Linked DNA regions of Sus scrofa. The protein of the gene in region 7 interacts with the protein of the main gene of each other region in a biochemical or structural test. Links are inferred from orthologs where the notes say so. Each region holds a gene or a part of one and is shown on either strand. Other genes may lie near its edges. The genes, in order: ERBIN, NEK2, HNF4A, TAX1BP3, AXIN1, MAGI3 and CTNNB1.

Evidence for each region.
Region 1: the proteins of CTNNB1 (region 7) and ERBIN interact in a test that uses a peptide from one of them, tested with the Homo sapiens proteins (2 studies listed by BioGRID and IntAct). The link is inferred for Sus scrofa from reciprocal best matches to the Homo sapiens genes CTNNB1 and ERBIN.
Region 2: the proteins of CTNNB1 (region 7) and NEK2 form a complex in vitro, tested with the Homo sapiens proteins (2 studies listed by BioGRID, with this or other methods). The link is inferred for Sus scrofa from reciprocal best matches to the Homo sapiens genes CTNNB1 and NEK2.
Region 3: the proteins of CTNNB1 (region 7) and HNF4A form a complex in vitro, tested with the Homo sapiens proteins (2 studies listed by BioGRID). The link is inferred for Sus scrofa from reciprocal best matches to the Homo sapiens genes CTNNB1 and HNF4A.
Region 4: the proteins of CTNNB1 (region 7) and TAX1BP3 are reported together in a solved structure, tested with the Homo sapiens proteins (2 studies listed by BioGRID and IntAct, with this or other methods). The link is inferred for Sus scrofa from reciprocal best matches to the Homo sapiens genes CTNNB1 and TAX1BP3.
Region 5: the proteins of CTNNB1 (region 7) and AXIN1 form a complex in vitro, tested with the Homo sapiens proteins (2 studies listed by BioGRID). The link is inferred for Sus scrofa from reciprocal best matches to the Homo sapiens genes CTNNB1 and AXIN1.
Region 6: the proteins of CTNNB1 (region 7) and MAGI3 form a complex in vitro, tested with the Homo sapiens proteins (2 studies listed by BioGRID and IntAct, with this or other methods). The link is inferred for Sus scrofa from reciprocal best matches to the Homo sapiens genes CTNNB1 and MAGI3.

Annotation. Positions count from the first base shown.
Region 1 is NC_010458.4:44,414,273-44,419,000, forward strand, and holds the start of ERBIN (erbin), read left to right. Parts: upstream 1-1,716; 5' UTR 1,717-1,854; intron 1,855-4,728. UniProt on the Homo sapiens protein: Acts as an adapter for the receptor ERBB2, in epithelia. By binding the unphosphorylated 'Tyr-1248' of receptor ERBB2, it may contribute to stabilize this unphosphorylated state.
Region 2 is NC_010451.4:131,556,970-131,561,459, reverse strand, and holds the end of NEK2 (serine/threonine-protein kinase Nek2), read right to left. Parts: intron 2,514-4,490; coding exon of another isoform or gene 2,407-2,513; exon of another isoform or gene 2,406-2,406; intron 1,795-2,405; coding exon 1,568-1,794; 3' UTR 933-1,567; downstream 1-932. UniProt on the Homo sapiens protein: Protein kinase which is involved in the control of centrosome separation and bipolar spindle formation in mitotic cells and chromatin condensation in meiotic cells.
Region 3 is NC_010459.5:46,823,696-46,827,701, forward strand, and holds part of HNF4A (hepatocyte nuclear factor 4-alpha), read left to right. Parts: intron 1-1,242; coding exon 1,243-1,417; intron 1,418-2,512; coding exon 2,513-2,607; intron 2,608-4,006. UniProt on the Homo sapiens protein: Transcriptional regulator which controls the expression of hepatic genes during the transition of endodermal cells to hepatic progenitor cells, facilitating the recruitment of RNA pol II to the promoters of target genes. Activates the transcription of CYP2C38.
Region 4 is NC_010454.4:49,755,940-49,760,615, forward strand, and holds the start of TAX1BP3 (tax1-binding protein 3), read right to left. Parts: upstream 3,088-4,676; 5' UTR 2,973-3,087; coding exon 2,934-2,972; intron 87-2,933; coding exon 1-86. Other genes in the region: EMC6 (ER membrane protein complex subunit 6), read left to right, coding at 3,608-3,940. UniProt on the Homo sapiens protein: May regulate a number of protein-protein interactions by competing for PDZ domain binding sites. Binds CTNNB1 and may thereby act as an inhibitor of the Wnt signaling pathway. Competes with LIN7A for KCNJ4 binding, and thereby promotes KCNJ4 internalization.
Region 5 is NC_010445.4:41,347,709-41,351,714, reverse strand, and holds part of AXIN1 (axin-1), read right to left. Parts: exon of another isoform or gene 3,599-4,006; 5' UTR 3,517-3,598; coding exon 2,636-3,516; intron 1-2,635. UniProt on the Homo sapiens protein: Component of the beta-catenin destruction complex required for regulating CTNNB1 levels through phosphorylation and ubiquitination, and modulating Wnt-signaling.
Region 6 is NC_010446.5:106,920,985-106,924,990, forward strand, and holds part of MAGI3 (membrane-associated guanylate kinase, WW and PDZ domain-containing protein 3), read right to left. Parts: intron 3,355-4,006; coding exon 2,749-3,354; intron 1,516-2,748; coding exon 1,484-1,515; intron 1-1,483.
Region 7 is NC_010455.5:25,191,372-25,195,377, forward strand, and holds part of CTNNB1 (catenin beta-1), read left to right. Parts: intron 1-2,748; exon of another isoform or gene 2,749-2,754; 5' UTR 2,755-2,806; coding exon 2,807-2,819; intron 2,820-3,259; coding exon 3,260-3,487; intron 3,488-3,695; coding exon 3,696-3,949; intron 3,950-4,006. UniProt on the Homo sapiens protein: Key downstream component of the canonical Wnt signaling pathway.

The DNA.
Region 1 (4,728 bases), on a different chromosome or scaffold from region 7:
AAGTTGGAGTGCTGCAGTTGAAAGAGATACCTGCAGGCTTAAAATCGGGGTTGGACTTGAACCCTTCGCACCGATCACTGCTGTACAAAGAAACTCAATTGGCAGGAGTGGAGGAGGCCTAGGGACTCTCTTTCTTTTTTTTTTTTTTTTTTTTTTTTTTTTTTTTTTTTTTTTTTTGTCTTTGTCTTTTTGTTGTTGTTGTTGCTATTTCTTGGGCCGCTCCGCGGCATATGGAGGTTCCAGGCTAGGGTTGAATCGGAGCTGTAGCCACCGGCCTACGCCAGAGCCACAGCAACGCGGGATCCGAGCCGCGTCTGCAACCTACACCACAGCTCACGGCAACGCCGGATCGTTAACCCACTGAGCAAGGCAGGGACCGAACCCGCAACCTCATGGTTCCTAGTCGGATTCGTTAACCACTGCGCCACGACGGAAACTCCAAGGACTCTCTTCTTCCAGGCTGGGCGCAGGGCAGCCGGGATCGACTTCGCCCGCATCCCCACCTTGGGCGGCTGGGGAGCAGCACGCAGGCCTCCCGGGCCTGGGCCAGAGCTGGCCTCACGCCGGACCTAGCTCGCGAACCCCCGGCCGCCGGCCCCGCCTCCCGGGCCCCCAAGACTATCACCCCCCGCTGCCGCCGCCGCCCCCCGCCGCCACCGACGTCGGCCCGCACCGCCCCCGCGCGCGGTGACTGGCTCGCGCCGGCCTCCAGCCCGGCTGTTGGAGGTTGGGGCGAAGCGGGCGGGAGGCCGCCCCGCCCCCGCCGCGGAGCCGCCGCCGCGCGCAGCCTCTTCCCCCCTCGCCGCCGGGGCGGTGGCGCTGTTGCCTCCGCGGCCTGTGAGGCAGTAACTCCCCTCCGCCCCAGCCCCCTTCCTCCTCCTTTCTCTCCGCTCCCTCCCTCCCCTCCCCTCCCCTCCCCTCCCCGCCCCTCGCAGTCTCTCGCTCGAGTGAATGTGGCGCGGCGGCGCGGGACGCAGTCTCGGCCCCTGCCGCGGCCCCGCGAGCTTGTGAGGAGACGAAGCCGCCGCCTGCCCCCACCCCCTGCGCTTCCCGGGGGAGCCACCGCCGCCAGGGAAGAAGAACGAGGAGGGGAGCGAGGGGACGGTGGCGGGAAAACAGGAGGGGGAGGAGAAGAGGGCTCGAGGGCAGGGAAGGAAGGCGGGGAGGGACGTACGGAAGGACGGACAGCCCGACGGCCGGCCGGGGGAGGGGGCCGCCATCGAGCCTGCCCGGCCCCTCGGCTCGGGCTCCGGGCGGCCGCGGCTGCGGCCGCGCGGGCGAAGGGCGCGGCAGGCGCTACCGAGACAATAACCCCGCCGCCCGGCTCCGGGGGTGGCGGCGAGGAGGCGGCGGCGGCCTAGCGCGGCAGAGGCTCTCCCAGCGCCCCGGTGGCATCTTTGCCCCCGCGGGCCAGGTTCGCCTGCCGTCGGATATCGGGGCGCGCGGGTCGCCCGGAGTCCCAGGCTCTCGGCTGACGCCCCCTGCCCTCCCCCGCCCGACGCGCGTGGAGCTGGTTTTCCGGGTTCCCCTGGACCGAGCTGGATCCTGCTGCTCGCCAAGGCAGGAAGTGAGTTTCGCACGGTAATTCCGGGCGGTGTCACGAGTGAAAAGTTTTTTTTTCGACGGAGATCCTAGTTGGGGCTGGGAAACTCCTGCAAAACTCGAGACCAGGAAGCCAGCCCGCTTCCCAACCCCCACCGGAGCCACCTACTCTTCCTACTGCGGGAGGCCACTCCACATCCGCTCTCACCGGAGAGAGAAATTCGGCTGGATCCGAAGTGACTAATGAAGGGGAGGAAATCATGTCAGGCGAAGCCTTGAAAAAGCTGTCCTGAGACACTGCCCGACCGAAAGGTAATTTTCACCCAAAGTGTCTGCGAGTCACAAAGCTCCCCGGCCAGGAAAGAGAGGAAACTTTAGTGTTTTCCACTTTTTCTCAAGTTGCCCTAAATTCTCCCTCTCTCCTGTCGGACGGGGTAGTGATTTAGGTGCAAAGCAGTAGAACTGATTTTATTCTCCTTTCTACCATCTGGACCCTGGTCATTTTAGAAGAGGTTGTAAGAATGCGGTGGGACGAAAAGTTTTAAGCAATTCCGAGGAAAGAATGCCTTTGTTCAGCAGAAGGTCCAGAAATCTTAGTTTCCCGGAACATATACAATGTATGTTTTTGATTTATTAAGTTGCTGAACCTGACAACTTTTGTTTTGGATGAAAGTTAGGTCACTGCGGCGAGCAATCGGCTGCTGTTGAGATGGCTGCCACAGTATTTGTTTATACTGTTACCGATTATTTTGCTTTTGCATTTAAATGTATATGGAGTTATTTAGTTCCAACTCTTATGACTGTGTTTCATTGGGTTTTATAAACAAAAAACTCTTTGCCGTTCTTAGTCGTTTTTTCAGGTGGGTAATATATATGTCTTCAGTAACTTGTTCTTTTCGGACATTTATAACTTTATAATACTTGTTTGGTGTTGTCTACAAGCTACTGTCTACAAGATTTTTCTTGTAACTGACCTAGTAGGGAGAAAAAGTGTTACGGCTAAAGAGTGATGATTAAAAAGCAAACATGAATGCCTGTAAGTGGTTTGATTTGTTAGGACTTCTGTGCAATTCGGAACTGAATGTATAGGAAAGGAAGTAAAACGCTTAAAACAGTGTTCATGGGCATCACAGTGATTGTGATAAATAGCTGTGCTTTTTGGTTAGCACATTATTTACATTTTTTTGTTGTTGTTGGCCCAAATGTTTTGACCGGGTCTGCCACCTAATAAGTGATGAGTATCTGCTGTGGGGGCAGGGATTAAGTGAAGCACGGTGACATTCCACCAGTCAGTTATAAATATAAACACTTCTGAACCAGTCGGTAGTCTTTATAGATCAAACTAGTTTTGGTTGCTGCAGACACAGACGGTTTCTTCTGTGGTGTTTTTAATGAGTGTCTTTTTAAGTTTGGTTCCCCCCCCCCCGTGCTTTTTTGGTAAAGGGAGGTAAAAGATAAACTCTGCTCTTGAATAAATGTCAAATAAACGTGGTATTTTGTTTGTAGATATATCTTAAATGTAAATTAATATTTATTTGCCCTTGCCACCACAAGAAAAATGGTTGGCTTTCTTTAGTTCCAAAAAGAGACAAGGTAGGTTTTAAACAGTAGGTTCAAATAATTTCACAACTTTTTCTTTGTTACTTCAAATTAAGTATGTTTCAAAAAGGGGGTCTTTTAACTATTACTATATATTGTTTTGATTTTTTTTTTTCTTGGAGCTTAGTCTCTGGAGCTCCTTTTTAAAAACAATTTTGTAGTTTTTTAAATTGTTGGTAAGATTTTGTGAACCATCAAGTAATTCCTATTAAGTGAAAGTAGCTTTATCAAATAATTTAAAGTATGTAAGTGATCTACTTTATGATTTTAGAACTTAAAATTAGGCAACGAAAGAGGTTATTCTTGGGCATCTGAAAGAGGGGAACAAAATAAATGGCATTGAACTTCGGTTTCCTTATATGGTTTATACTTGGCTTCAGAGCAACAAAGCCTTAATAGAGCAAGTCTTTTATAGAGAATTATCACTTTGCGAAAGTGTTCCTTTCTCTGTGTTAGGAAATTTTACTTGAAAGAAGTATTATAGTCCTCAAAAATACCTATTTAAATGCCTGTTGTTAGATATAGCTCTTGATTTTTTTTCTTGAGGGAGCATAGTATGTATAGATGCAGACAACATGTTTTAAAAGATGTTCACCTTTGTAGTTGTCTTTGATTCCTTTTTCCCCTCAACAAGGCAAAATTTACTTTGAGGTTTATTTATTTTATTAGTTTAGCACTGGATTAACTTAATGAATTTTAGGTTTTATACTGTTGTCAAACTGTAAATATTTTTCAAAGTTTTGTTTAAAATTTGACAGTGGTTTGAAAATAAGTTTAAAAAATGGTCATAAAAATATTTTAAAATGGCTTCAAATTTTGGATATTTTTCTTAGTATTCTGTGGGTTTTTTAGATTAAATTCACAAATCTGGAGTACTTCCAAGGTGTTTGTAGAAAATGCGCACTTGATGGCCCTGTTTGTTAAAGGTACTGGGAGTTTTCAAAAGTGATAAACTTAATCTTTCAACTAATTAATTCAGATATTATGAAGTTTCCCTACTGTTTGTGAACAAATTATTGCCAACTTTTCATGTATAAAAAGCTTACAGAGGTTCCAATATGGGAACCAATTTTTTATTGCTTGTTTTTTCTTCATGAAGCAATAACTACAGTTAGAGACATTTGATGTGTATCATTGGTAAATGTCTAAAACTCAGGTATTTTAGAGATTTTGGTAGTGAGCTCATGGCAGTAAACAGTACCTCACTTTAAGAGACAAGAATTTCAGAAAATTAAGTGCATATTTATGCATTTATTTTAAATTATTGCCTGTAGATAAATATGGTAGTGATTATGAAGTATTTGGGATTCTGTAGGTTTTAGTGATGTTAGATAGGAAAGTATTTTTTTTTTTTTTTTTTTGTAATTTCTAGTTGTCTAGATTCTCTTTAAACAGACTTGGTGCTTGCATTTTTGATTCTTTTCCTTGCTCATCCATTTCTCCATCACATGCCTTGTTTTTCTTCCTGGAAACACATGTAATATAAAGTCCTTAACGATGCCTTTCTTCCCCTGACAATATATGTATTGTACCTGTGTTTGGCTGTTCATAATTTAGTTTTTGAATACATATTTTTTGCTATAGAAA
Region 2 (4,490 bases), on a different chromosome or scaffold from region 7:
CCTGGGACCTGCGAATCACACTGAACACTGACATGGGGTGTAACGCCGGCATACGGCAAAGCCGCGGTCATCAGCCTCTGAGTTTTGATAACATGTCTTTGCTGGAACGACACTGTGTAATAAGCCTGTGATAACGTGGCTAATAAACAGGGGTTTGGGACTGGCGCATGCACACCGTGGTATATGGAATGATTGGCCAATGGGGACCTGCTGTCTAGCACAAGGAACTCTACCCGATATTGTGAGAATCTATACGGGGGGGAAAAAGCCTAAAAAAGAATGGGTGTGTGCATGTACAACTGAGTCACTCTGTTGTACAGCAGCCATGATCACGACGTTGCGAGTCAACTAGACGTCAATAAAGCGTTTCAAAACCAGCTACTAAAGGAGCTGTTCCTGTTTATTAAAACCCTTCAGAACTTGGTCTTCTTTCGATAAAAGGATTAGCATTGCCAGGAAAACATCACATGAAAAATGTGATGGGCACCGCGAGGACTGCTGATTCATATCACAAGTCAGACATATTAAAAAAAATCCACCAAAGCCAAAACAAGTTCCCTTCAAACTCCAGCAAGCTTTAGCTTAGATCAGGGTTCCCACGCGTGGCCCTGTTGGCATTTAGTCCTGGGACTGTCCTGTGCACCACGGGGGGCGGGGGGAGGGGGTTAGCAGCAGTCCCGGCCTCTGCCCACTAGATGCCAGCAGCACCCTCCCTCCAATTGTGACCATTAAAAAAAACTGTCTCCAGATGTTGCAAATATCCCCTGGGGGGGGAAACTGCCCCCAGAAAGAACCACTGGCTTAGTCGGTCAAATGAGATGCAGAGCAAAGTGCCCCCAGCCCTGGGGAGCTAACGTTCTCATGCCTGCCCTCCAAACCTGTGAGCCGTAAACACAGACTCCCTCCAACCAAGAGATGGGCACATGCCAGAGACTAGGAAAACTAAAGAATTCTTTTATTTAGTCAGAAAGAGGTGGCACAGGACATTCACAGAATAAAAAGGGGAAAAGCACACAGACATCACAGAGATGAACTCTTCCACAGAAGGTCACAGATTCACGCCCCAGAGCAACGGGATGTTTACACGCGAGATGCCAGCGTATCAGTGGCCGACCAGGTTTTCTCTAAGCTCAAGAACATTTAAAAACCCAGACTTAAATTTTCACTCTAGACAGGACAGCTGTAAAGCACACCACTCAGTCCTTCAGACTTCACAGTAAGCACTGCTCCTGAGTAAAGATGTTTTCCTACTATCCCCCCCAATTCCCAACACTTAGAATATAACATCGAAGGTTCCAGAAGTAATCACACAGAGGATGAAAAGCCCAGTTGGCCAAGACAGTCATTCTGTCTGTAAAGCCTTCTTAGAAAAAGAAAGACAAATGCACGGGGTGGACGCTGGCACACCTGCCGCCGAGGAACAGCAAAAGCGACCCCGAAACATCAGGCTTCCTACAGAAAACGCACGGTTCACGGCAGCACGCGTGTAGGCCGCGGCAGGGGAATGCCAGCCTCGAAGGGCGGGCAGTGTTAGACCCGGCTCGCCGCTCGCTGTCTCTGGGCCAGGCTAGCGCATGCCCAGGATCTGCCTGCTTTTCAGCTGGTACGTTTTCTCAATGTCTGCCAGGGCCTGCGCCCGCAGCTGAGCAGCATGGAGCCTCCTCTTCAGGTCTTTGCACTTGGATTTGGAGCTGAGCTGACTCTCAGGAGTCTCGCTCCTTGCGACGTTCTCCTTACTCTCCCCGCTGAAGTGAACCTTCTTCTTCATTCCCGAGGTCGGAAGATCAAAACGCTCTTCAGGGAGGAAAAAGAAGAGGGTCTGAGTTACGTGAACAGGAGTTCAACTCCCCCGTACTTGGCAGACTCACCGCAACAGTCACCCTGTCGCTTCACACGTGAACCCCGGGGACCGGCTATTCTCTCTGGAACCAGAGCGTGACAATTCAGCTGAGGAAATACTCAAGATCTAACTGGTTTTACTCAACGATTCATTTTTTTGGTTTTTTTTTTTTTTTTTTTGCCATTTCTAGGGCCGCTCCCACGGCATATGGAGGTTCCCAGGCCAGAGGTCCAATCAGAGCTGTAGCCACCGGCCTACGCCAGAGCCACAGCAACACCAGATCCGAGCCACATCTGCGACCTACACCTCAGCTCACGGCAACACCGGATCTTTAACCCACTGAGCAAGGCCAGGGATCAAACCCACAACCCCATGGTTCCTAGTCGGGCTCGTCAACCACTGAGCCAGATGGGAACTCCTGCTCAACGATTCACGATGCTGGCAGCATCCTACCTACCAGACAGAAAGCCCTGAGGAGCTGTGCAGAATGAAAGACCTTTACGGGCAGAGGGGACGGGATGAGGAAGTCACTCTAGCAGGGAACAGATCTGCGTGGCAAGGTCACCTTAATTCAGTGGACAGCAGGTGTCTACCAGGCAGATGACCTTACTACTGCTGACGAGGTCATGCCAGATTGACTGCTTTAAGATTCCATTCCTGGGAGAGGCAGAACCTGTAATTAAGTTAGGTATTAAGTCTTGGTTTGGTGACATTTGGTGATAACTGACTCCATTTTGGACCTGTTATCTCTTTTGTAACAGGCTAGGGGCATAGGTTTGGCAGAAATCAATCAGGCTTTTAATCTGCAGCCAAAAATCGAGGAGCATATGTTTTATTCTCCTAACACTCAACCTTCCTGTTAAGGTTAAATGCACAGAGGATCACAGTCTCTAGTATGAAACGTCTGGAAAGCAATGTTCTTTATCTCTATTCTTGAAAACAAGTGCCTTTCTGCCTACAACGCATGACTCCCAGGAAAGCATGGACGCAGAAGCTCTTCCTTACAGCAAAGCACCTACAGTTCTGGCGAAATACTTAAGAACACTTAGAGCGGCTTAACTGCCCAGAAACTTGTTTCAAAAAGAACCTAAGCCAGGGTGGCAGGGTAAAAGCAGAGGCAACACAGTAAAAGTTAATCAAGTTAATAGTGAGTGAAGATGTGAATTGTACTTTTAACATTTAAAAAAAAAAAAAAAAAGAAAGAATTTCCTTCAAGTGTCTACACTATTAGGAACTGACAGGTTTGAATTCTAGAACAAAAAGGTTCTTTTTGTTTTTCCTTTGTGTTCATGTAAAGGAAATACGGTCGAATGTTTACTGAGCTCACTGCGTGCCGCTGGGGACCAAACAAAGGCCCTGTTGTGGTGGGAGGAGAGAGACCACAACAAACAAACAGGTGCATGTGAGGAGTCTCCGAGGGGATGTGTGCTCTGGGCGAAAAGGAGACAGATGCAGGGCTGTTTGCAGTCATGCAAAAGACCTCGTAGTAAGACGGCTCCTGAGCAGAGACCTGAGGAGAGGGAGGAAGTAAGAAGCCAGCCGACTACGTGGAGAAGAACATTCCAGGCCAAAGAACAGGAGGCGCCCTGCAGGAGTGGGCCGCACAGAGAAACACTGCCTTCGCCTGCCTGACTTCTACTTCCTACACTGCTTCTCCGCCAGCCTTTCAGGAGATGGCTTTTAGGCCCTAAGTCTATGGTTTCAAACAGATCCACCTTTATGACCTCAAATACCTGAACATTTGTAAACCAACAGTATAAACTGTAAATCTTACTGAGATAGTTTTGTAAGAAAGAAAAGGGTTTAGAAAAAAAGTTAGCATTTCTTTTTTGTTGTTGGCCGCCCTGTGACACATGGAGCTCCCGGCCCAGGGATCAGATCCCAGCCACAGTTGTGACTTAAGCCACAGCTGTGGCAACACCGGATCCTTAACCCACTGTGCAGGGCCGGGGATCGAACCTGGATCCCAGCGCTCCCAAGACACCACCGCTGATGCTGTTCTTGCTACAGCAGGAACTCCTTGAATTAGTATTTCATTAAACGAAACGAATTAGTATTCATTAAATAGACTAAGGAGAGCTTTAGAAAAGATGCTCTTAGTTTATTTGTTTTCCTCGTGTCTGAATTGCAGGACCCAAGGAGGGGAGGAGGACCTTCCCAACTGTCCCGAGTTCATAAGGACACTGCCCCCCACTGCTTTGTTGCTCATCTGGGGCTCGGATGTGCTCAGTACTTTAAAATATCTCCTACCCACAGTGGATGCTCCACCCTACAGCTCATTTTCAGTAATTGCCGCGACTCGCATACAGGTAGGTTCCTCTACCCACGGATCCCACAGAGTGAAACACACCGTCCTTCTTAGCTTTTCACCCTTTGCTCAAAGACGCTCGGGGCAAGATGTCGATAAACTCTATAACTGGAAGATCTGTCCCCAACGGCGCCCTTGATGATTCTTGGCAATGAGCTTGATGCCTTCAACTCACCCAGTTAAAAATCCCCCCTCACTCTATCGATCATGATTTAAGTGTAGTTTGTCTTTATGGATGGCAGTGTGGAATCGAAGAAAAACTGAAATAAGTATAAAAATATTGAAATGTTAAAATAGCAATAATGAGGGAAAAAAAGATATTTACTGCCATCACTAATTTCA
Region 3 (4,006 bases), on a different chromosome or scaffold from region 7:
CAGAAATGAGATGTGGCGGGGTGGCTGCTTGCGCATGGAGGCTGGACGTCATCTGCCCCCGGCGTTGGAAAAGTTTACATTTCACAAATGCCCATACGTGCCAAGCGCTTCCCACAGACTGATTCACTGAATCTTCATAACAGCCCTAGGGATTATTTCGTTTCCCATTTTATAAGTGAGGAAATGAAGATGTGGAGAGGTAAACTAACACGGCCAAGGCCACACGGCTAAGAAGAGGGTGAGCTGGGATTTCGCCCTGGCAAAGGGCTACGGAGTTTGGGCTCTGACCTACAGCCCTGTTCCCCTCTCCACTTCTCAGCTAGATGTTCCCTAGGAATTCAAGGTCGGATGCAGAGTTTCTATGACATTGCGTGTGTGTTTTTGACTTTGTGTGGTTTGTGTACGCGGGCATTTTTCCGGGAAGATGGTTCATAGTGTTTGTCATCTTCCTTGGCAGAAGATTCGCTTACAAAAAAGAGGGTTTGGCTGCTGAAAATTCTTTAAGAGTTGAAAAATAAATTGGACCAGTCAAACTGCCCTCTTTTATAGTTAGGGAGACTGAGGCCCAGGGGAAATTGAAACAAGGAAAAGGAACTGGCCCAAGGTGACAGGAGAGTTAGTGGCAGCACTAGCAGCCAGGACCCCAGCCACCTGTCTCTTCTCCCCCTCCTCACATTTATATGGATGCAGCAGCTTTTACCGTGATGCCCAGATCCTTGACATGATCCTCCCAGGAGGACAAAGAAGCCATTGTCCTTGATGTATGTCTTTCTGTTCCCTGGGGGAGTTTGCAGGCCCCTGGGTGCCAAGCTGAGACCCACCCAGTCCTGGTCACCCAGAGAGGCTCTGGGCAGATGCTGGGGGAACACAGCCCCCTCCCCACAGCCCCCTCCGCCCTGTCAATCGGGGTCTATAAGGGTTGGATGCATCCTAGGAGCCAGCCAGGTGTTTGTCACTTCCCAGAGAAAGCTGGGGCTAGAGGTCTCTGCCATGGAGAAGAGCAGACCCGCATAACAACGCTGCAAAGTCAATGTCACAACCATCCATAAGTTACAGATGCAAAATGGAGGTTCCAAAATGCTCTGGGGCTCGCCCGAGGTCTTTGAGGGAATAGGAGCAGCATGTGGGTCTAGCTGAGGCTGAAGCCCTGGGGAGACCCCCACGATGCGGCAAGAGAGCAAGGCCTCCAGGAGGTGACGTGCTGCTCCTCCTGCGTCCTCACTCTTTTCTTTTCTGGTACAGACACATCCCCATCAGAAGGTGCCAACCTCAATGCGCCCAACAGCCTGGGTGTCAGCGCCTTGTGTGCCATCTGTGGGGACCGGGCCACAGGCAAACACTACGGGGCCTCGAGCTGTGACGGCTGCAAGGGCTTCTTTCGGAGGAGTGTGAGGAAGAACCACATGTACTCCTGCAGGTGAGGACCCTCGATTTCTCCAGCTGGGAAACGGGCATATTTGGGCTGATGTCCCCCAGGGTCTGTCTTCTCCCTGCCCAGGTCCCAGAGGCATCCGCCTTTCAAGGCCTTCAAGCCTCTTCTGATTGCTTAGTTCTTGCAGACCCAGACGGGAATGTCTACTCTAGAAACCTCATTTACTGATCATAACGCTATCAACTGCCTTTTACTGAGCACTTACTATGTGCTAGGCATCATATTAAGTCTTTGCGGGTGCTAATTATTCCCATCAGTTCCCCATTATTTTTCCTCATTTAGCAAACTGGGACCCCTGAAGCTTAGGATCAAGCCTCCTCTGAGGCCTCAGAGGATGAGGCCCGTCCCCCAACCTGGGGTTTTTTCTGGGGCAAAGAGGGCACTGATCCCAGGTCTTCCCACCTCTCTCAAGACCCTGGAGCTCTCTCTTCGAGAGCATCTCTCATTCTAGGTGACACGATAATAAAATAACAGCAGCTGTCAGTTATGAGCACTTACTATGAACGATACTCTGCCAAGGCCCAGTTGGGTGTGATCCCATTTTCACCAGTCAACACCCCTCTGCCCTGGTTACCATTGTTCTTCTCATCTTATAGATGAGGAAGTCGTGGCTTGGAGGGATTAGGAATGTGCCCAAGGTCACCCAGCTTGAATCAATGGCAGGGCCTGGGTGGACTCCCCATCCCTAACCACTGTGGGTCCTGCCTCTACTTCTCAACCCCCTCCAGAAAGCAGCTTATGTGGACCGAGTATTGATTCTGATCCATAACCAGGAGCTCACTCTGGGCGGTTATGGGATGTAGTGGAAACAGCAGTGCCCTGGACTTGCAGCTGAGTGATCTGAGGCCATTGTCACCTCTCTGAGCCTCAGTTTCTCTGTTTAGTGGGGCAGGGTTGAACTCCTGGCGTGCACAGGGCCTTTCCAGCTCCTGGTTGGTTAGCATAAGAACTCCTGGGATGATGGGTTTGGGCAAGGAGGCAGGGGGGCAGGGGGCTCAAGGAGCCAACCAGGATTCTAGCTCAGTCCTGGGAGAGGGAGGGTGGTCCCTTCTCCAACCAACCATCCAAAGCCCTCCCCAGATTTAGTCGGCAGTGCGTGGTGGACAAAGACAAGAGGAACCAGTGCCGCTACTGCAGGCTCAAGAAGTGCTTCCGGGCTGGCATGAAGAAGGAAGGTGAGCCTCGGCCCTCCCCCGTCCACCCCGCTGCCCCACCCGCGCCCGCAAACTCCTGACAGCCATTTACAACAGCGACTACAATTTTATGACTTGGTGACAGGCCCCAGGACACTGGCTAATGGCTGAGAGGAGGGAGGGCCTGAAAGTCTGACCATAGGGAGGGGCTGGGCTTGGTCTTGAGAAAGATTCCAAGAGATAAGCTCCCACTTTCAGCTACTCAGGTTCCCAGCGCCACCACCCCTGCCTGCCGTCACCGCCACGAGGCAACTGAGCTGGGGGTTTTTTCTTAATGCACTATTTCCACCATCAGGAAAAGTGTGAAGAACAGGGTTATAAACATCCATGGACCCACCACCCAGAGTCAGCAAATGTGAATGGGGGCAGGGTGCGGGCACTGTTCCTGAGCCTCCTGTCCCGGGAACAGGCACCCCAGTTCCTCAGTCTTCGTTCTTGGGTATCAGGTGATCCAGGGTTCTCACATTTCAGGGAATGGGAACAAGGTACCAGACTCTCCCTGGGTGCAGTGGGGACAGTGGGGTACATCATTTATTCGGGTCTCTCCCGGCCTCCTGCCACCAGCAGACACTGATTACCTGGCTGGGCTTTCCATTCTTATGACAACTCTGTGTGGCTGGCACATTATCAACTCCCCTACCCCCCTTTTCATGGACGAGGGAACGGAGGTCCAAGATGGCTCAGCAACTTTCCCAAGGCCCCACAGCTGCTCAAAACAAGCTTCCAGGTTTGAACCCAGAGCTCTGGATTCAAATTCACTGCTGTTTGGACAATACCTCGGTGTGGTCTCCGAGGCCCTCCAGACCCCAAGAACATTTAAAAGTTTTTCAGCCCAAGCTCGGGAAGTAAACGTCTTTTAACTGTTTCTCTGAGTAACCTGAGCGCGCTTTCAAATCTCTGTCTCCTCTGCTCCACTCGGCTTTCCCAGCCCTGGGACTGGCCTCCAGACCTTCACTTCCAGCCTGCTGCCGTGGCACACCAGCCAAAACCCTTGGTCTAGTTCTGTACAAACACACACACACCCCACCCCACCCCACAGCAGGATCCTGAGACCTAGCCTTCCCTGGGACAATTAGAAAGGAGGGGAACTTGGCTTTGGCGGTGTCCCCTCCCTGACTCTACCTCTGAGCCCCTGTTTTCTCTGCCTCCCTCTCTGGGTTATATCTTGTGGGTTTTGAGTTCATGAGCCATGTTGGGAAAGCCGGGCCTGTGGTCCTGATGAAGGGGTGGGTGGTCCCCAAGCCCCCTCCTGCCCACAGCGCCATGACTCTCTCACTCAGACCACAGTGGTTCTCAAGGTCACAGAGGGCCTTTCTTGAAGGGCAAGTGCCCTCCTTCTCTCCCCTACCCTGTTTTCAGTGGGATTGAGCCACTCTCACCT
Region 4 (4,676 bases), on a different chromosome or scaffold from region 7:
GAGGGATCCTGGTCAATTCCACCTCCAATGCTGAAGCCCAGGATTAAGTTCTCACCTTGACGCAGCTTATGAATTTCAACTCTTTGCTAGCAAAGATAAAAAACGAGTTGGGGGCGAGTGGGTGTAGAGAATGTGGCCTGTGTCTCCAGCAGCAGCCTCAGGCAGCTGGGTAGGCTCGGAGCCATGCCACAGAGGTGGGGCCCAGGATCTCCTGCAGGAAGCCAGCTATTCACCAGCCTGGGAGGCTGGGGGGTTAAGGCTCAGAACTCAGCCACACCAACCCACCCACACAACCCTTCTCCCTAACCTCTCCCAGCTTCCTACGTCACAGGTACCAGCCTTCTTAACACAGACTAAGCCCCTCCTGGCTCTTGAGCCAGGATGCTGTGGCTGTTCCGGATGGGGTCTTTGTCCCAGGGGAGGGAACACAGGGGCAAGAGGGGTCAAGCTCTGAACAAAACATGTAGGCACCTTGCTGAGGCCAGCTCAGATTGCTAAGCCAGCCCTGTTGAGGGTGAGACAGGAGATGCTTTAGAACAGCGGGGATCAGACTTGCACAGAAGGGAGGAAGAGCTGTCCTGGCCAAGAGAACAGGAGCAGAGGCTCGAAGGTGCTGTGGCTACATTTCCTTGAGACGGGAGTGTATGGCACAGGACCAGAACCGGGAGGCGAGGTAAGGCTGAGGCGAGATGCATTAGACTGGTGAGTGCAGGGCCAGGAGACCAGCCTAAGGGACAGGACATCTCCCTAAGCCCCGGGGCCCTGCTATTGTGCAGTGTAGGAGGTGGATGCAGGGCCCAGGGCACCCTCACCACACGGTGAGATTGTGGACCCCAACGGTGCCAGGCTCCTTTCAAAGCCCTCAGCAGGCACCTTCCAGACCAGATGACCACCCCACACCCCCCAAAGTTGAGAGTTTTAACAGGAAGAAGGAAAAAACAAAGTAAAAGGCAACTGCATGTGACCTGATCTGGATCTGAGGGGCTTCATGAAGGAGGGGCCGTTTGTACCAGGCCTTGGGCTGACCAGGAGTTTGGCCACCTGACCTTGATTTTGGACCCACTGGAGCTCCCAGGAGTTGGGGAGTAGGGCTGACGGTAGATCATGGTCAGGTTTGATGCTGAAACGACCACCCAGGCAGTAAGGCAACAGATGTCTCACAGAGGTGGGACATCTCCGGATGGCCCATCATGCAGAGGCGGCAAGGGGAGCACCCAGCCAGCCATCTGGCCCCGCCTGGCTGAACACAACCATCTCCCAGATGTGGATCCCAGAGAAGGAGCATGTTGAGCTGGAGAACCAAGAGCTGTCCAGGTAGGTGTCCAGAAGGTGGACGAACCTATGGACCCAGAGTTCAGCGAAGAGGCCAAATGGTTTTAACACTGTCACAGCGTTAAGTATGTGGGAGAGGGCCTGGGGTAGGGAGGAGCCTCTTCCACCCCATCCCGGATCCAGGACACAGGAGGGAGAAGCCAGGCCCCACCCACCATATTCAAACATGTTCCTAGAGAAGAACCAGGGGGTCATGGTCCTAAAACTTAGAGGAAGGCCCAGGGGCCAGGAGAGACATGTGAGAAAGGGGAGCAGGAAGCATGACACCTGAGGCCTGCAGGACCTAGGTCCTCGTGTGTAAGAGTGTGAGCTCCTCCAGGCCTGCTCCACCTCTGGGGACACCTCTGACCCATCTCCAAGGTCTGGACTGGGAGACAAGGCCCCATCACTGACCTCCTGGGTGAGGTCAGGGAGGCTCCTGCCTCTTTGGTTCCCCACCTGCACTCCCTTTTTTCTAGCTAAAGAGCAAACCTGACCCCTTCTCTCTGGGGCAGCTAGAAGGCTGGAAAAGCCAAGCCGGTGCAGCCAGGGTGAAGCTGAGGACAGCTGTCAGCAGTCCAGGCCTGAGCTGGTGTGCTAAGCTCACCCTCACATGGCAGCTTTATCAGTGGCTCCCTGGTCACACCACCTGGCTGCTGGAGTCCCCAACACGCCCATCTGGATACTGCAGCCAGTGGCAGGGCCCTTAGGGCTACGACTTCCATCTGACCCATTCCTTGCCCAGCAGGCATTTCTGCTCAGAGATCTGGGTCCTTCTTGAAGCCTTCTTTACATGGCTGGGCATGGCCAGACATCTCTCTGGGACTCAATTTCCCCACCTCAGCCATGGAATGGGTCTCCAGGCCCCATCCAGCTGTGACATTGGCGTCTGAGTCTAATGTCCCAACTTCTCTGCCTATTCTCATAGCACTTGGCACCCAAGATGAACCAAGAGGGCAACCAGGGGCCTGAGCCGACCCCGAAGGGTCTCCTCAGGCCCCAAGTGCCAGGAGGGTGACCTGGGCTTTGCCCCAAGAGTTGTTTGGGGATCCAGGGAAAGTTCGGAGCGGGATCAAGTCAGTTGTATGAGCCTTCACTCTGGACCGACTGACTGTGCGTCCGAGAAGGCAAGGCTAGATGGGAGGGGTTGTAGGACTGTTACTCAGGCTCCGGCTACCTCCACCCGCAAGTCTTGGGCGGCGGCGCCGGCTGGAGCGGAGGAAGCACTTCCTCATTCCAGAGGCTGCGACTCATGGACTTTGGATCCGGCGCCCGCCCCCCGCGGCTACCCAGCTGGGGACACAGGCCTGGGAAGGGGACGCTTCCTAGACTCCCACAGCCGGGGCCTTTTCCCTCAGTAAGAAGAGTCCAGAGCGGCGGCGGCGGCGAGCAGGATCTGGCCTTGATCCCGGGTCTTCAGGAAGCTCGTGGGTCCCAGCCACCTCTTGCCTGGCTGGGGAAGACCACGGCTCCTGTCCCGCAGAGCGGGAACCGGAGCTCTGGCTGCGGGTTTGCAGGAGTCCCGGGTTCGACGCTTTGTCAACCTGTTTGGTGTATCAATTTACCTATCTGCAAAGTGGGGGCAAGCCAAAACTAGGAAGAGCCCGAGCGAGCGCACTCACCACCACGGCGGTGACCGGCTGGCCCGGAATGTAGGACATCTCGACCCCAATCTGGAAGCCAAGCGCCGCTCCCCGAAGCCTGCAGCGAGAATCCCGGTGGCCGCGCCCTCTCTGGTTAACAAAGGCTGCACGGCCCAGCCCGCCCCCTTATGAATAGTTAACAAGACTCCAGCGAATCACCTGCCGGAGCGCTGTCCGGCTCTCGGAAGTTCCCGTGCGTGCGTAGAAAAGCGGGGAAGTGGGTGGTGCGTGCTTGAGGCGTCCTCAGTGCGTGCGCCAGAGGCGGAGGGGGGGCGGGGAGCGAGGCCTTGGCGCGTGCGCAGCCTGGGCCTTCCCAGCATCCTCTGCGCAAGATGGCGTCGCGGGAGTCCCTGCTCTAGGCTGTCTGAGGGAACGTCGAGTGACTACCTCCGCCGCCGCGTTCCAGGTAAGTGGCCGAGTCTAGGCGGGAAATGCAGCTATGCGGCCAGCCGTCCCGAACCCTCAGCTTTCTCAGCGTTTTTCGAAGGTCCGAGACGCTGGGGGCGGGGAGGTGGTGCGAAGTCTTGGCAGCCCTAGGGAAAGGGGCGGCGTGAACCCAACTCGCCAGGCTCTGGGCGCTACTTGTAACGTGGTTCTCTCCGCAGCCCCGCGTTGCTTCGGGAGAAAGCAGAGGCCGAGTCCGGGTGGGTGCGATGGCCGCTGTGGTGGTCAAGCGGGAAGGGCCGCCGTTCATCAGTGAGGCCGCTGTGCGGGGCAACGCCGCCGTCCTGGATTACTGCCGGACCTCGGTGTCGGCGCTGTCGGGGGCCACGGCCGGCATCCTCGGCCTCACCGGCCTGTACGGTTTCATCTTCTACCTGCTCGCCTCCATCCTGCTCTCTTTGCTCTTAATTCTCAAGGCGGGAAGGAGGTGGAACAAATATTTTAAGTCGCGAAGACCTCTCTTTACAGGAGGTCTCATTGGAGGCCTCTTCACCTACGTCCTGTTCTGGACATTCCTCTACGGCATGGTGCACGTCTACTGAAAGGAGGGCAGGGATGACTTCTTTTTGAAAAGCAGATTGGGAGGACGGTTGCCGGAAATTAACAGCGTGTAGACTTACCTAGTTTTTAAATTGTTGGATTCGCTGCTTGTTCTGTAACGTTATGAATAATTTATATCTGAAGACGAAGAGCCTGTACTGTTCTTCAGATTAAATGAAGCGTGAGACCCTTTGTGGAGTTTTTTTCCTACCTTAAAGCGCCGCGCTCCGCGTCCCCGTCCCCCCGTCCCCCCCCCCCTCCCGCCGCTGTGGGTGCAGAATCGCCGGGTTTTGACTCTGGGAGAGCTCTCTGACTGCGCCTTAGCTTTCTTTCATTTCCTTGCATTGACACATGGGCTATTCGCAGAGGGGTCACTAAGGCCTAAATAAGAGAACTTATTAACATCCCGAGAACTAATAACAGTCAATACTTATTAAGTGTGCTCTATATACCAGGCATTGTACTGCGCACCTTTCACACTCATTTCTTTTTCTTTTTTTTTTTTTTGCTTTTATTAGGGCCGCACCTGTGGCATATGGAAGTTGCCAGGCTAGGGGTCGAATCAGAGCTGCAGCTGCCGACCTACCTCACAGCCACAGCAACTTGGGATCTGATCCGCATCTCTGACCTGCACCACAGCTCATGGCAGTGCCTGGATCCTTAACCCACTGAGCGAGGCCAGGGATTGAACAGGCATCCTGGTAGATACTAGTTGGGTTTGTTACCGCTGAGCCACAA
Region 5 (4,006 bases), on a different chromosome or scaffold from region 7:
AGGGGACAGTTTCTGATAAAACTCAATTTGCTCTCACCATGAAATCCAGCGCTCAGGCCCCTGACATTCACCCAAAGGGGACGAAAACTCAGGCCCACACCAACCCCTGCACACGGGTGATTACTGCAGCTTTCGTCACAACTGTCAAACACGGCAATCAGGATGTCCTCCAGCAGGCGAGTGGGTAAATAAGCCAGACCACCCACGCGGTTCAGCACCAAAAAGAAATGAGCTTCGGAGCCACAAAAAGACACCGAGGAACCGCAAAAGCGTATTAAGAGAGAAAAGCTAGGAGTTCTCGTTATGGCGCAGTGGTTAACGCATCCGACTAGGAACCATGAGGCTGCGGGTTTGATCCCTGGCCTCGCTCAGTGGATGAAGGACCAGGCGTTGCCGTGGGCTGTGGTGTAGGTCGCAGACATGGTTCAGATCCCGAGTTGCTGTGGCTCTGGTGTAGGCCGGCGGCTACAGCTCCGATTCGACCCTTAGCCTGGGAACCTCCATATGCCGCGGGAGCGGCCCAAGAAAAGGCAAAAAGACAAAAAAAAAAAAAAAAAAGAGAGAGAGAGAGAGAGAAAAGCCAGCGTGAACAGGCTGCACGTTGCACAGCTCCAACTACATGGCTTTCCGGAAAAGGCAAAGCCATGAAGATGGCAAAAGCTTCAGGGGCTGACAGGGGCAGGGGCGGGGGCTGGAAAGGACGCGGAGGCAGAGCGAGACCACCCCATGCAGTTCTGCGACAGACACACGTCGCACACCTTGGTCCAAACCCACAGGACGGACCCCACCGCTGAGGGGCCTGGAGTGCAACCACGGACGGCGGGTGGTCATGCCATAGCTTTGGCATCTGAGACAAATGACCACTCTGCTGCGGGAGGCCGGTGACGGGGGAGCCATGCACACGTGGGGACACGAGTGTGCGGGAAACTGCGGCACCTTCCTCTCAACTCTGCTGGTGACCTAAACCTGCCCCACACAAGATCAAGTCGAGGAGTTCTCGTTGTGGCTCAGTGTAGCAAACCCGACTAGTATCCATCCATGAGGATGGGGGTTCAATCCCAGGCCTCACTCAGTGGGTTAAAGATCCGGCGTTGCCGTGGGCTGTGGGGTAGGCCGGCAGCTGCACCTCCGATTCGACGCCTAGCCTGGGACCCTCCATAGGCTGCAGGTGTGGTCCTTCGAACAAACAAAAAGAACACTGTCCTGACCAAATATGAACACTCTCAAGTTAGATTTAGATTTTCTTTTTTTTTTTTTTTTTTTTTTTTTTTTTGTCTTTTTGCTATTTCTTGGGCCGCTCCCGCGGCATATGGAGGTTCCCAGGCTAGGGGTCGAATCGGAGCTGCAGCCACCGGTCTACGCCAGAGCCACAGCAACTCGGGATCCGAGCCGCATCTGCAACCTACACCACAGCTCACGGCAACGCCGGATCGTTAACCCACTGAGCAGGGGCAGGGACCGAACCCGCAACCTCATGGTTCCTAGTCGGATTCGTTAACCACTGCGCCACGTAAGGTTTAAAGACCATGAGGAGGTCCCGCTGTAGCTGCATCCTGGGAGCACTGGGAGGCAGGTTCGACCCCCAGCCCAGCACAGCGGGTTAAGGATCCGGCACTGCCGCAGCCGTGGCAACTGAGGTTGCAGCTACGGCTCAGATCTGATCCCTGGCCCGAGAACCTCATAGGCCAAAAAAGAAAAGAGAGAGACAGTGAGAAAAAGGCAAACGAAAGTCACCTAGGACAGTGTGTCTGCTTCCCACCCCTTAGAGAACATTTCAACCCTCAGCACATCTAGCCCTGTGTTTGTTAGCAAGTAACCACTTTTTCTGCCACGAGAAGATTGAAGACGGGGTCCGGGAGACCAGCGCCGGGAGACTCGCCTGCATCATGGGGTCGCTTTATTAAATGCCAGCCTTTCAGCACCTCGCAGGCCAGGACGGGGAAGGGAGGGGAAGGGCTGCGACCGGCGGCCACAAGCTCCGGCCAGAGACCAAACAAACTGCCAGGAACCACAAGAAAGAGAACCAAGAAACAGGTTTCCAAAGTCCCAGCGACTTGCCAAAGGCACCGCTCCTGGCCTCCCAGCTGCCTTTGTGCCCACAGGCCACGACCATGACCACAGCTTCCGAGTCCCGGTCTGGGCAGGAGAAAGGGGTGGTCCTAGACCCACAAGCGCAGCCACAGGAAGTTCCCACGGGGCTCGGACCGCCTGCGGCACAGCAGCCTCGCCAGCAGCGCTTCCCGACCTCTAGGAAGAAGCTCGGGGGACGACCCGGAATTCTCCACGCACCGACGCCTTTCAACGTCCAGGCCTCCGCTCTCTGAGCCCCAAGGACCGCGGCCACCAGGTCAACACCCCTCTGGGCGAGGGGACACACACGGGACTGCTAAGGGTTGGACGCCACGTGGCGTCCAAGGCAGCCCACATTCCCAGCGCCTTCCGAAGCCACTCGGGTTGGGGCTGTTCTCGCCAAAAGCACCCTCCACCTGCCAGGCTCTGCACACCGTGTGACCTCGCACCCCGGCACCAGGCGTCCCGCCGCTCTGGGGCCAGAGCCGAGGGAGCAGCCCTTTCCCAGGCCAGTCCTCCAGTGCCCGGAGGCGAGCGTGGGACGGCGGCCTCGCGGGGGACTCACCTGAACTCTCTGCCTTCGCTGTACCGTCTACTCGAGCAGGCCCGCGGGGCGGCGGTTTCCAGCAGCAGCAGCGTCTGCGTGAGCCTGCCGGGCGGTGCGGGGTCTCCGGCGGCCTCCTCGTCCGCGCCTCGGTCGCACGTCCACTCCTCGTCCTCGTTCAGCGTGGGCAGGTATCCGGGGACCCCCTTGCCCGTGCCTGCCGCGGAGCCCGGCTCGCCACAGGCCTTGGGGCTCTCGGCGCCCGCGCGCGTGCACTCAGCGTAGATGTCGGACTTGAGGAAGGCGGGGTAGGTGTTGGCCTCCATGCTCGACTGCACCTCGGTCTGCGCCTGGTCGAACATGGCAGGGTCGATCTGCTGCTTGGCGATGCAGTCCTTGATGAAGCTCTTGGTGGCCGGCTTGGTCTGCCTGGACACGACGCCACCGCTGTCGAGGATGTACCTGCGGTAAATTGCTCGGGCCAGCTTCAGCCTCTTCTCCTCGTTCGAGTCGCAGGGCTCCAGCTTCCTGAAGCCGCTGCAGGCGAACCAGAAGTCCAGCAGGTCAGCGCAGTGCTCCTGCCTCAGGAAAGTCCGAAACAGGTTTATCCCGTCCTGATCGTCGAGCAGGGAGTGCAGCGACTCGGCCCACTTCAAGTACGGCGGGGTGGGCGAAGCGCTGCCCTCGGGCTCGTACCCCAGGTCCAGGTCCGAGCGCCTCGGCGTGGCTGTCGAAGTCTCCCCTTTAATCCCGGCACCTTTCCCAGAGCAGAAGCTGTGGCTGACGGGCCTGGGGTCTGTGGACACCAGCTCCCCCTCCTCACCAGGCACTGGGGGCCGGGGGGCATCTTCGGTGAAACTTGCGCCGAGGTCCAAGGGGAAGCCCTGCTCCTGGGTATTCATTTTGGGGCGCTGTGCGTCAAGGCGCAACGCGCGCTGCACCCTAATACATCAGTACTTACGGCTCCCAGGGAATCACTCTGGCCTGTTGAAACCATCAAGAGGACAAGGATTAGGAACAGTGGGGCCATGGAGACACGACCACAGAGGTTTTCTCAGACAAGCCTCGCAACGACGCCCTCCCGCTCAAAGCCAGAGACTCGGCTTAAATTCTCACTCTGTTTTTTTTCCAGAGGCCACACCCACAGCCTGTGGAAGGTCCCGGGCCAGGCATTGACCCCGCGCCCCCAGCTATGACCTGCGCCCCAGCTGCAGCCACACGAGACACTGAACCCACTGCACAGGGCCGGGGAGCGACCTCGCACCACCGCAGAGACAGCCCGGATCCTTAACGTGCTGCGCCACAGCGGGAACTCCCAAATTTTCAATCTTTGTCACCGGTCTTGTACCACGTGAAAACAATGTCTGGAAAGCTTTACAGCTCTAGGCACGC
Region 6 (4,006 bases), on a different chromosome or scaffold from region 7:
CTAAGAAAATGAAACAGGAAGTGTTAACTCTAATTTAGGTTATAAAGATGTCACTGTGAAAACCCGTGTGGCCCATTCAAATGTATCACGAAAAACTGCCCCACACCAGGGAATCAGATTTGGGATAACAGAGTAGCCTATTTTCACATGTTCCCATTTAGATAGAACTTGCACAAAAGAAGAGCTCAGCAAAATGACCTCTCTAATAAAACTTTAAAAATGAAATTCAATAAATAGCCTAAGAAAAAAATACTTTGAGAACAGCTTGTTATCCTGATTCATGGTTAGGAGAGGGAGATTACAGAAGTTTGTGATAAAATAATTAATGTGACTAGAATGCAGGAGCAGGAGTTCTTGTTGTGGCTCAGCGGTAACAAACCCGACTAGGACCCATGAGGACGTGGGTTCGACCCTGGCCTTGCTCAGTGGATAAAAAAGGATCCATTGCTGCAGTGAGCTGTGGTGTTGGTTGCACATGTGGCCTGGATTCTGTATGGCTGGGGCTGGGGCGAGGGCCAGCAGTTGCAGCTTCGATTCAACCCCCAGCCTGGGAACTTCCATGCGCCGCGAGGGTGACCCTAAAAAAAAAAAAAAAAAAAAAAAAAAAAAAAAAAAAAAAAAAGACGCAGTAGCAGCAGCTTGTTAGGGAGGAGTGAGAGGACAGCCTCCACAAAGTGCTGTGTCCAAGAGGCCCCTACACTGGCCCGGACCCAGTCAGAGTCCACGTCCTAAGACTGCCAGAAGCAGTGAGAGGTCATTAGAGACGTTCAGCAATTATAAAGCATCATGGTTGCTGTGTCTGCATTGGCATCTGTTACGAAATAGATACAGTGGCACAGGAGTTAAAAATGGTTACCAGGGGACCAGAGAAATGGAGAAAAACACAGTGCAATTTTAAGTAAACAGGCAAGAGAATTTCTGCTCACTGGACCTACGTGGGACAGTCTTTACAAGTGCTGAGTGTTTCTTTCCTTTGACCCATAAAACAGCAAATCTGTGGCAGATCCTATTTGGTGGGCTATAGAGAATTAACCCATTTTATGTCTGATGGCCTTTTGTTTAGTAGCCTAAGGTTTATGGTAATGGAAGACCATCTTTCAACAAAAGACGACAGACCTCAAATCAAGCAACTTAGGATTCTATACAAAACTGTCTTTATATCCATCTAATTGTGGATATTTAAGTTGGCACACATGTGTACCAGGCACAGTTTCTTTCAAAGCATTATCGGTGGACTATCGGTGGTATAGGCTCCGAGAGTCTTCCAACAGAAATACCCAACCAGGAGAGCACGTCTTCTCTCTAGGGGGCTTTTTCTAACTCACAGGCTTCCCTGGTTTCTGATACAAGCCCGGCGCAGAACGCCTCCTGCCTCCTCCCCATCTGTCATCACCACCACCACAAGCTGCCCTCACAGAGGGCAAAGTGGTATCTCTCTCCCCGTGATGAGAAGAAGCATTTGAGGACCACTGCGTATACTCACCATTTTGGCAGTTTTAGTTGGTGATGGAGGACCTTAAAAAAAAATGAGCCACATTTTAAAAACAGAGGAAGCATTGCCAGATCACAAATACTGCTATGTTTATGCTAAAACTAGCTTTGACTTTTAGTAGGCGAGTCAATTATGTCCAACATGTGTTCTACGTGTCAAGGGTTAAGGACAATCCTAAGGCATAAATGTTACTACCGTTTTATAAAGAAAGAAAACAAAGACTCAAATAGATGAACATCACTTTCCGCTCCTGCTGAACTAATAGGTAATAAGACAGGAAATTGACACCCAATTTGTTTGACATCAAACCCTGGACTCGGACCTTTTCTGGGACACTGGGTAACTCTCCAGCCCTCACAAAGGGATCTGTACCTACTCTGAGCGCATTCTACCGTATCACCCAGAGAAGAAGCAAAAAGGGTTCAAAGAAATGAGAATAATGAAAAATGCCCCAATGAAGCTAAACTGCTCATGTGCCTCAAAAAATGAAAACTAAAAGCCAGAGAGATACATGTGAAGGGCTAAATTTTATTCTTTAAAATGTTAGTCATTCACAGGTATGGATTTAAGAAAGCCCATTAAAATGCAACTTTGTGATTGGTCCTTGGAACTGGATTGATGTCTGGGAGCCGTTCAAGTCAGCTGATGACCTGGGAAAATAAAATTGTATTTCTCTCATATGAGCACTGTGGGGTTTAATTAACATTTATGAACAGATACTAAAGCTTAAGATAAAAGTTTTATGAGCACAAGCTACCATGATTGCTTTTACAGAACAGATTAACACGCCAGCCAACATTTTGCTTATTCACAGAGATGCTATGCTCTTTCAAAACATCTTTGGTACATTACAGAGGTCTGGATCAAGTACCAGTGGTTGAAAGAGTCCATTCCTATTATTGCCATCAACAGAGAAAATGAAATTAAGAAGATATATTTTGCTGAAGAAGCACAATGCTGTGACTCTCTCTAATCATTAAAGTCATAGATTAGATTTTTAAAAAAAATATAGAGGGAAAGAAACCCATAATGGACACAATGAAGCCACTAATAACTAAAAAAGAAAAAAAAAGAAAAAAAAACTGCTGCAAAAGATACTGCTTATGGAAGCAGTCGGGCAGAACTTAAGGAAAATGCACACTAATTACCAGTTAAGCCTGCTGGAAAAAAAGATTCTGACCTGTAGTAAGGAAGGACAGCGAGTAGGTATAAATCTACGAACAATGAAGCTTTTTCCTTTTTGTGCTTTTACTCACCTCCTCTTAAGATAAGCAATGGTACATCTGCACCTACTGGAAACTGCTTTAGCACCTCTACCACTTGGAGATGTGTTAAATTCTGCACATTTTGATGGTAAATTTCCTTAATTATATCCCCTTTCTGTAGGCCTTGACACCACTGGCTATCCAGTATCATTTTCACCTTCTGTCCAGTGGGGCTGTCAGCAATTGCAAACCCAAAGCCTTTAGGGCCCTTAATCAGAGGGATAGTCACTAGTTCAGGCTGGGAGCTGCCTGATGATGCCATAGATGCTCTCTGCTCACTCAGATCTACCGGTCCATTGAGACGATCACTGATCAAGGTGTGTCCCGATTTGCCATTCTGGTCCAGAATCACGGCTCCTGACTTAAACTCCTGAGTACTCATGCAAGTCTCTCCCTTCGTTAACGGCTGTCCATTGATGACAGGAGTAGCAGCAACAATGTCCACGACCGGATCTTCATTGTCATCAGGAAGTGGATAACCACGACATAAAGTGAGGTTGACATACTGATTGACGGGTACCAACTGAAACATCTGGACAACATCTGCATGGGTGTGACCAAGGACACAGTTGCCATTGATGTCGACAATAACATCACCTGGTAAAACATAAGTCATGTTAATATATTAAAACTATCAAGTGAATTTTTGTTGTTGGAAGAGTCAAAAATAACTGAAATTCAGCATCTAAATTTGGATCCTAGAAACTTCTTCCTGGACATTAACAACTGAAAAGATAGCTTTTCAACATAGATATGCCATTCTCCCTTCTGTGACTCCTCTTTGAAAAGAACATATAAATGCATACATTCTTAGTTTTCTTAGTGCCAAAGAATCACGACCTCAAGCTCGAGTGAATCTTTAAAAAAGTAACTGAAAACTCCTATTACCAATGTTGGTATATCCTTTGAGTCATACCAAAGTGGCCACACAAAGCTAGGCGCATTATAGTAGGTATTCAGTACACAACAAAGGAGCAAATATTCCACTGGCTACTTGCACAAACAGGCAATCTTGAAATCCTACCTTATTTCTTGATTTTAAGCAGGCACTGATTACAGTGTACTTAAAAAGTCATTCTAGATTGAACAATGTATGGCTGAAGATTAGAATAATAACTTATGAATGTATTTTCTTTTAGCACCCTTCTTTTTTGTAAAGATTTTCAATTTAATATAATTCAGTTTTCAAAAGGAGAAATACCAACACAAAAGCTCAATGCAAGCAAACAACATATTATTTAAGACATTG
Region 7 (4,006 bases):
ACAGCAACGCGGAATCCAAGCCTCGTCTGCAACCTACACCACAGCTCACGGCAACGCCGGATCGTTAACCCACCGAGCAAGGGCAGGGACCGAACCCGCAACCTCATGGTTCCTAGTCGGATTCGTTAACCACTGCGCCACGACGGGAACTCCTATCCTGATTTTTAAGTTCTGTTTCTCTGGAGTGTGGTTTTCCTGGCAAGCCTTAGCTGATTAGGAGCTCTAGGCCCTTAATGATTGGCAGGGGAAATGGAGGGGGGCCAACCCATGGCCTGAAAGCTCTGCCCAGAGGAAGAATGAAGAAAGCTTTCCTTTGAGGTGAGATTCTGCCCTGGTTCTCCGGACAGCATACTCAATTTCTTTAGTAAGTAATTATCAGATTTAAGGTAAATCTGGATTTGTCTTCAGAACAGCGCAGGGGTAGGTTGGTATATGCTTCTGCTTAGGTATATCCATTTTCTTTTTTTTCTTTGGTCTTTCTAGGGCCGCACCTACAGCATATGAAGTTTCCTAGGCTAGGGGTCGAATCAGAGTTATAGCTGCTGGCCTACGTCATAGCCACAGCAACGCCAGATCCGAGCCGCATCTGTGACCTATACCACAGCTCATGGCAACACTGGATTCTTGACCCACTGAGTGAGCAAGGCCAAGGATTGAACCTCATTCTCATTAATGCTAGTCAGATTCGTTTCCACTGAGCCACAATGGAAACTTCGGTAGATCCATTTTCATTCTTACTTTTTCTTCTTTACCTGCTGATTGACATTTACCTTCTGTCACTTCAGAGGGTTGCTGTGAAGAGCACGGATAATTTTTTTGTATGTTGCATAATGTTGTATAAATTTGAAAGTACTATAAAAATAATATTAAGAGGTCCCCAACATTCAAATAGATATTTTAACTTTTGAACATTAATTTGCTTTATTCCATGAAATCATAAATCATGGTCAAATTACTAGCTCAGCCCACCTAAATTTTCTCCAGTAATAACGTGGTTAATATGTTTTGCCTTTGTATCAACAAGGAAAAAATGCTATAAATGTTATTTTCCTTGATGCCAGCATGTTTTAACACAGCTGCATAGCCTATAGATGTGACTAGTAGGTTTCTGAGCTCTATGGCATTGGCCAGAGGAGTTCACTGTAGAACACTTAATTCCCCTTCCCAGGAGCATATTGTGAGCTGGAGTGGGGAATCCATTTTTCAGAGGGGTAGAGAAATGGTTAAATAGCCAGTCACAAAGATAGTCTAAAGATAAAGGCTAAAATACAGCCTCAGTGGACAGAGAACCTGGGTTCCTTCCATCAGTTTTTCTCAAAGTGTGGTCTGAAGATCACTTTCTGCATCCTATAATGTTCATTAAAGTGCAGGTTTCTACGCTCCACTCCCGTCCTGTTGAATGGAAGCATTAAACACATAATCCTATGTCGTACCAGATTTTAAAATAGAAGTTTCTTCTTGACAGGAATTATCGTTATTATTTTCTGCCTTAGAAGTAAATTGTCAGTTGTTCTTACTGTGGACACATAGCATCCACAACTTTTGTGGGATTTCCCATGTGGCTCACAACACAGCTCTTGTGAGCTTTAGGTGTCAAGTGGTCTTTGTGGTTGTAAAAACTTAGTTTTAGAAGAGCAATTCCAGAAATAATAAACACAGGCTTCCTTTACATAGAGGAAAAGGACTTCAGAGTAGTTTCTAGTTGCATGAAACATAATTAAATTTTTGCACATTGATAGAAAACACAGTTCACACTTAAATATCTTAGTCCATATCTTTCCACATTGGTAATCTACATCTAATATTTAATTTGTAGTGCAAGATGAACTTGTTTAGGGGGCAGACTTTGTAATAAAGGAAATTTTGTTATTAGGAATATCTAGACACCGTGAACCCTTTAAATGGTTTCATTTGCCGATAGCTCCCTGTGTAATTCATTGTTTTCCTGAATTTTCTTGGACACAGTAAAGCCAAAATGCAGACATATAGATGCTTTTCTATACACACACACACAAACACACACACACACGTAAATGATTTTACATTGATCAAAGCATTCTATTTAGTAATACTTGTATTTGTAATAAATTATGCTATAAATTTGAACTTGAAAAACTTAACTAAAAACGGTACTTTTAGTTTGTGTCGCAAACTTTCACTTGAAAAGGTAATTTTACTTATTAAAAAATCTCCAGTTCTGATCCAGTCACCAAAATCTGTTTTATAACGGTATTTTGGATGTCACTGTATTATATCAGAAAAGAAAACAATAACAGTTGACTCATTTAATGAAAATTTGGTGTTTTTAAAATCCCATTGGACCTGTATTGTCTGAAGAAGACCTATGAATTTTTCCAGTGAAAGAAGTTAAAAAGGGAGAGGGGAGGACTTTGGAACTCAAGGAGGAGGTGATTTGGAGTAGTTTTTTCTCCTCTCTGGCTTTCATTACTACAGTGTCTGTGTTTTCTTTGACGTCTTCAATAGTTGGGCTTTTTGACATCTTGTATGTTTGTAATTTGTATTTCTACTGAAAAGAAGTGCTTATTAATGAGAGGTTTTCTCTTAAAAGTTCAGCAATGATAGAGCTGTAGTTGAGGTGTGTGGAGGAGACCATGAGGTGTGTGTTTCACTATATCACATGGTAAAAGAGGACTTGGGGCTTTTTGTGGATGTGGTGCGTGATGTTTAGTGGCTTAATGAGTGTTAAAATCAAACTAATTTTAAATCCTAATGACCTTTGATTAACTCTTTTAGGATCTCTGAAGTACATACACCATACTACGGCTTTAAATATCCTGCGTGGACAATGGCTACCCAAGGTTTGTATCATAAGCCTTTAGTTACTGAATTGGGGCTCTGCTTCATTGCCATTAACCCAGTCTGGCTCAGATTCCCCTGCTTTCCTCTCTCCCTGCTTACTTGTCAGGCTACCCTTTGCTCCATTTTCTGCTCACTCCTCCTAATGGCTTGGTGAAATAGCAAACAAGCCAGCAGCAGGAATCTAGGCTGGATGAATGCTTCTGGAGCCTGGATGCAGTACCATTCTTCCACTGATGCAGTGAGTAACTGTTAGGTGGTCCCCTAAGAGTATAGATTTTTCATCACTGAGCTGATCCTGGCCATCATTCTGTTTTCCTTGGCTATCTTCAGATTTGACTTTATTTCTAAAAAGATTTCAGTGGGTCCTGTCACAGATTTTTATTTTCAAATTAAGATACCATTTTCCTAGTAGTGATACTAATGCTTTTGATTTTTATAGCTGATTTGATGGAGCTGGACATGGCTATGGAGCCAGACAGAAAAGCGGCTGTTAGTCACTGGCAGCAACAGTCTTACCTGGACTCTGGAATCCATTCTGGTGCCACGACCACAGCTCCTTCTCTAAGTGGTAAAGGCAATCCTGAAGAAGAGGATGTGGATACCACCCAAGTCCTATATGAGTGGGAGCAGGGATTTTCTCAGTCCTTCACTCAAGAACAAGTGGCTGGTAAGAGTATTATTGCCCTACTGAAAGTCAGAATGCAGTTTTGATAATTAAATAGTTATTCTTATGAAAGTTAGCATATAATAGCTTAAATAAAATGGTGTGGTAAAGAAAAGGGAGTGATTGCAATGTCATCATCACCATTTAGGATAGCAAATATTCAGGTGCATGCTGAGCTGTGGATAGTGAGTGTTGAATTTACCTTTTCCAGATATTGATGGACAGTATGCAATGACTCGCGCTCAGAGGGTACGAGCTGCTATGTTCCCTGAGACATTAGATGAGGGCATGCAGATCCCATCTACACAGTTTGACGCTGCTCATCCCACTAATGTCCAGCGTCTGGCTGAACCATCACAGATGCTGAAACATGCAGTTGTAAATTTGATTAACTATCAAGATGATGCAGAACTTGCCACACGTGCAATCCCCGAATTGACAAAATTGCTAAATGATGAAGACCAGGTAAGTAGTGATATGGCTGACTTAATAATCTACTTTGAAGGAAACTCCCAAGGAAGT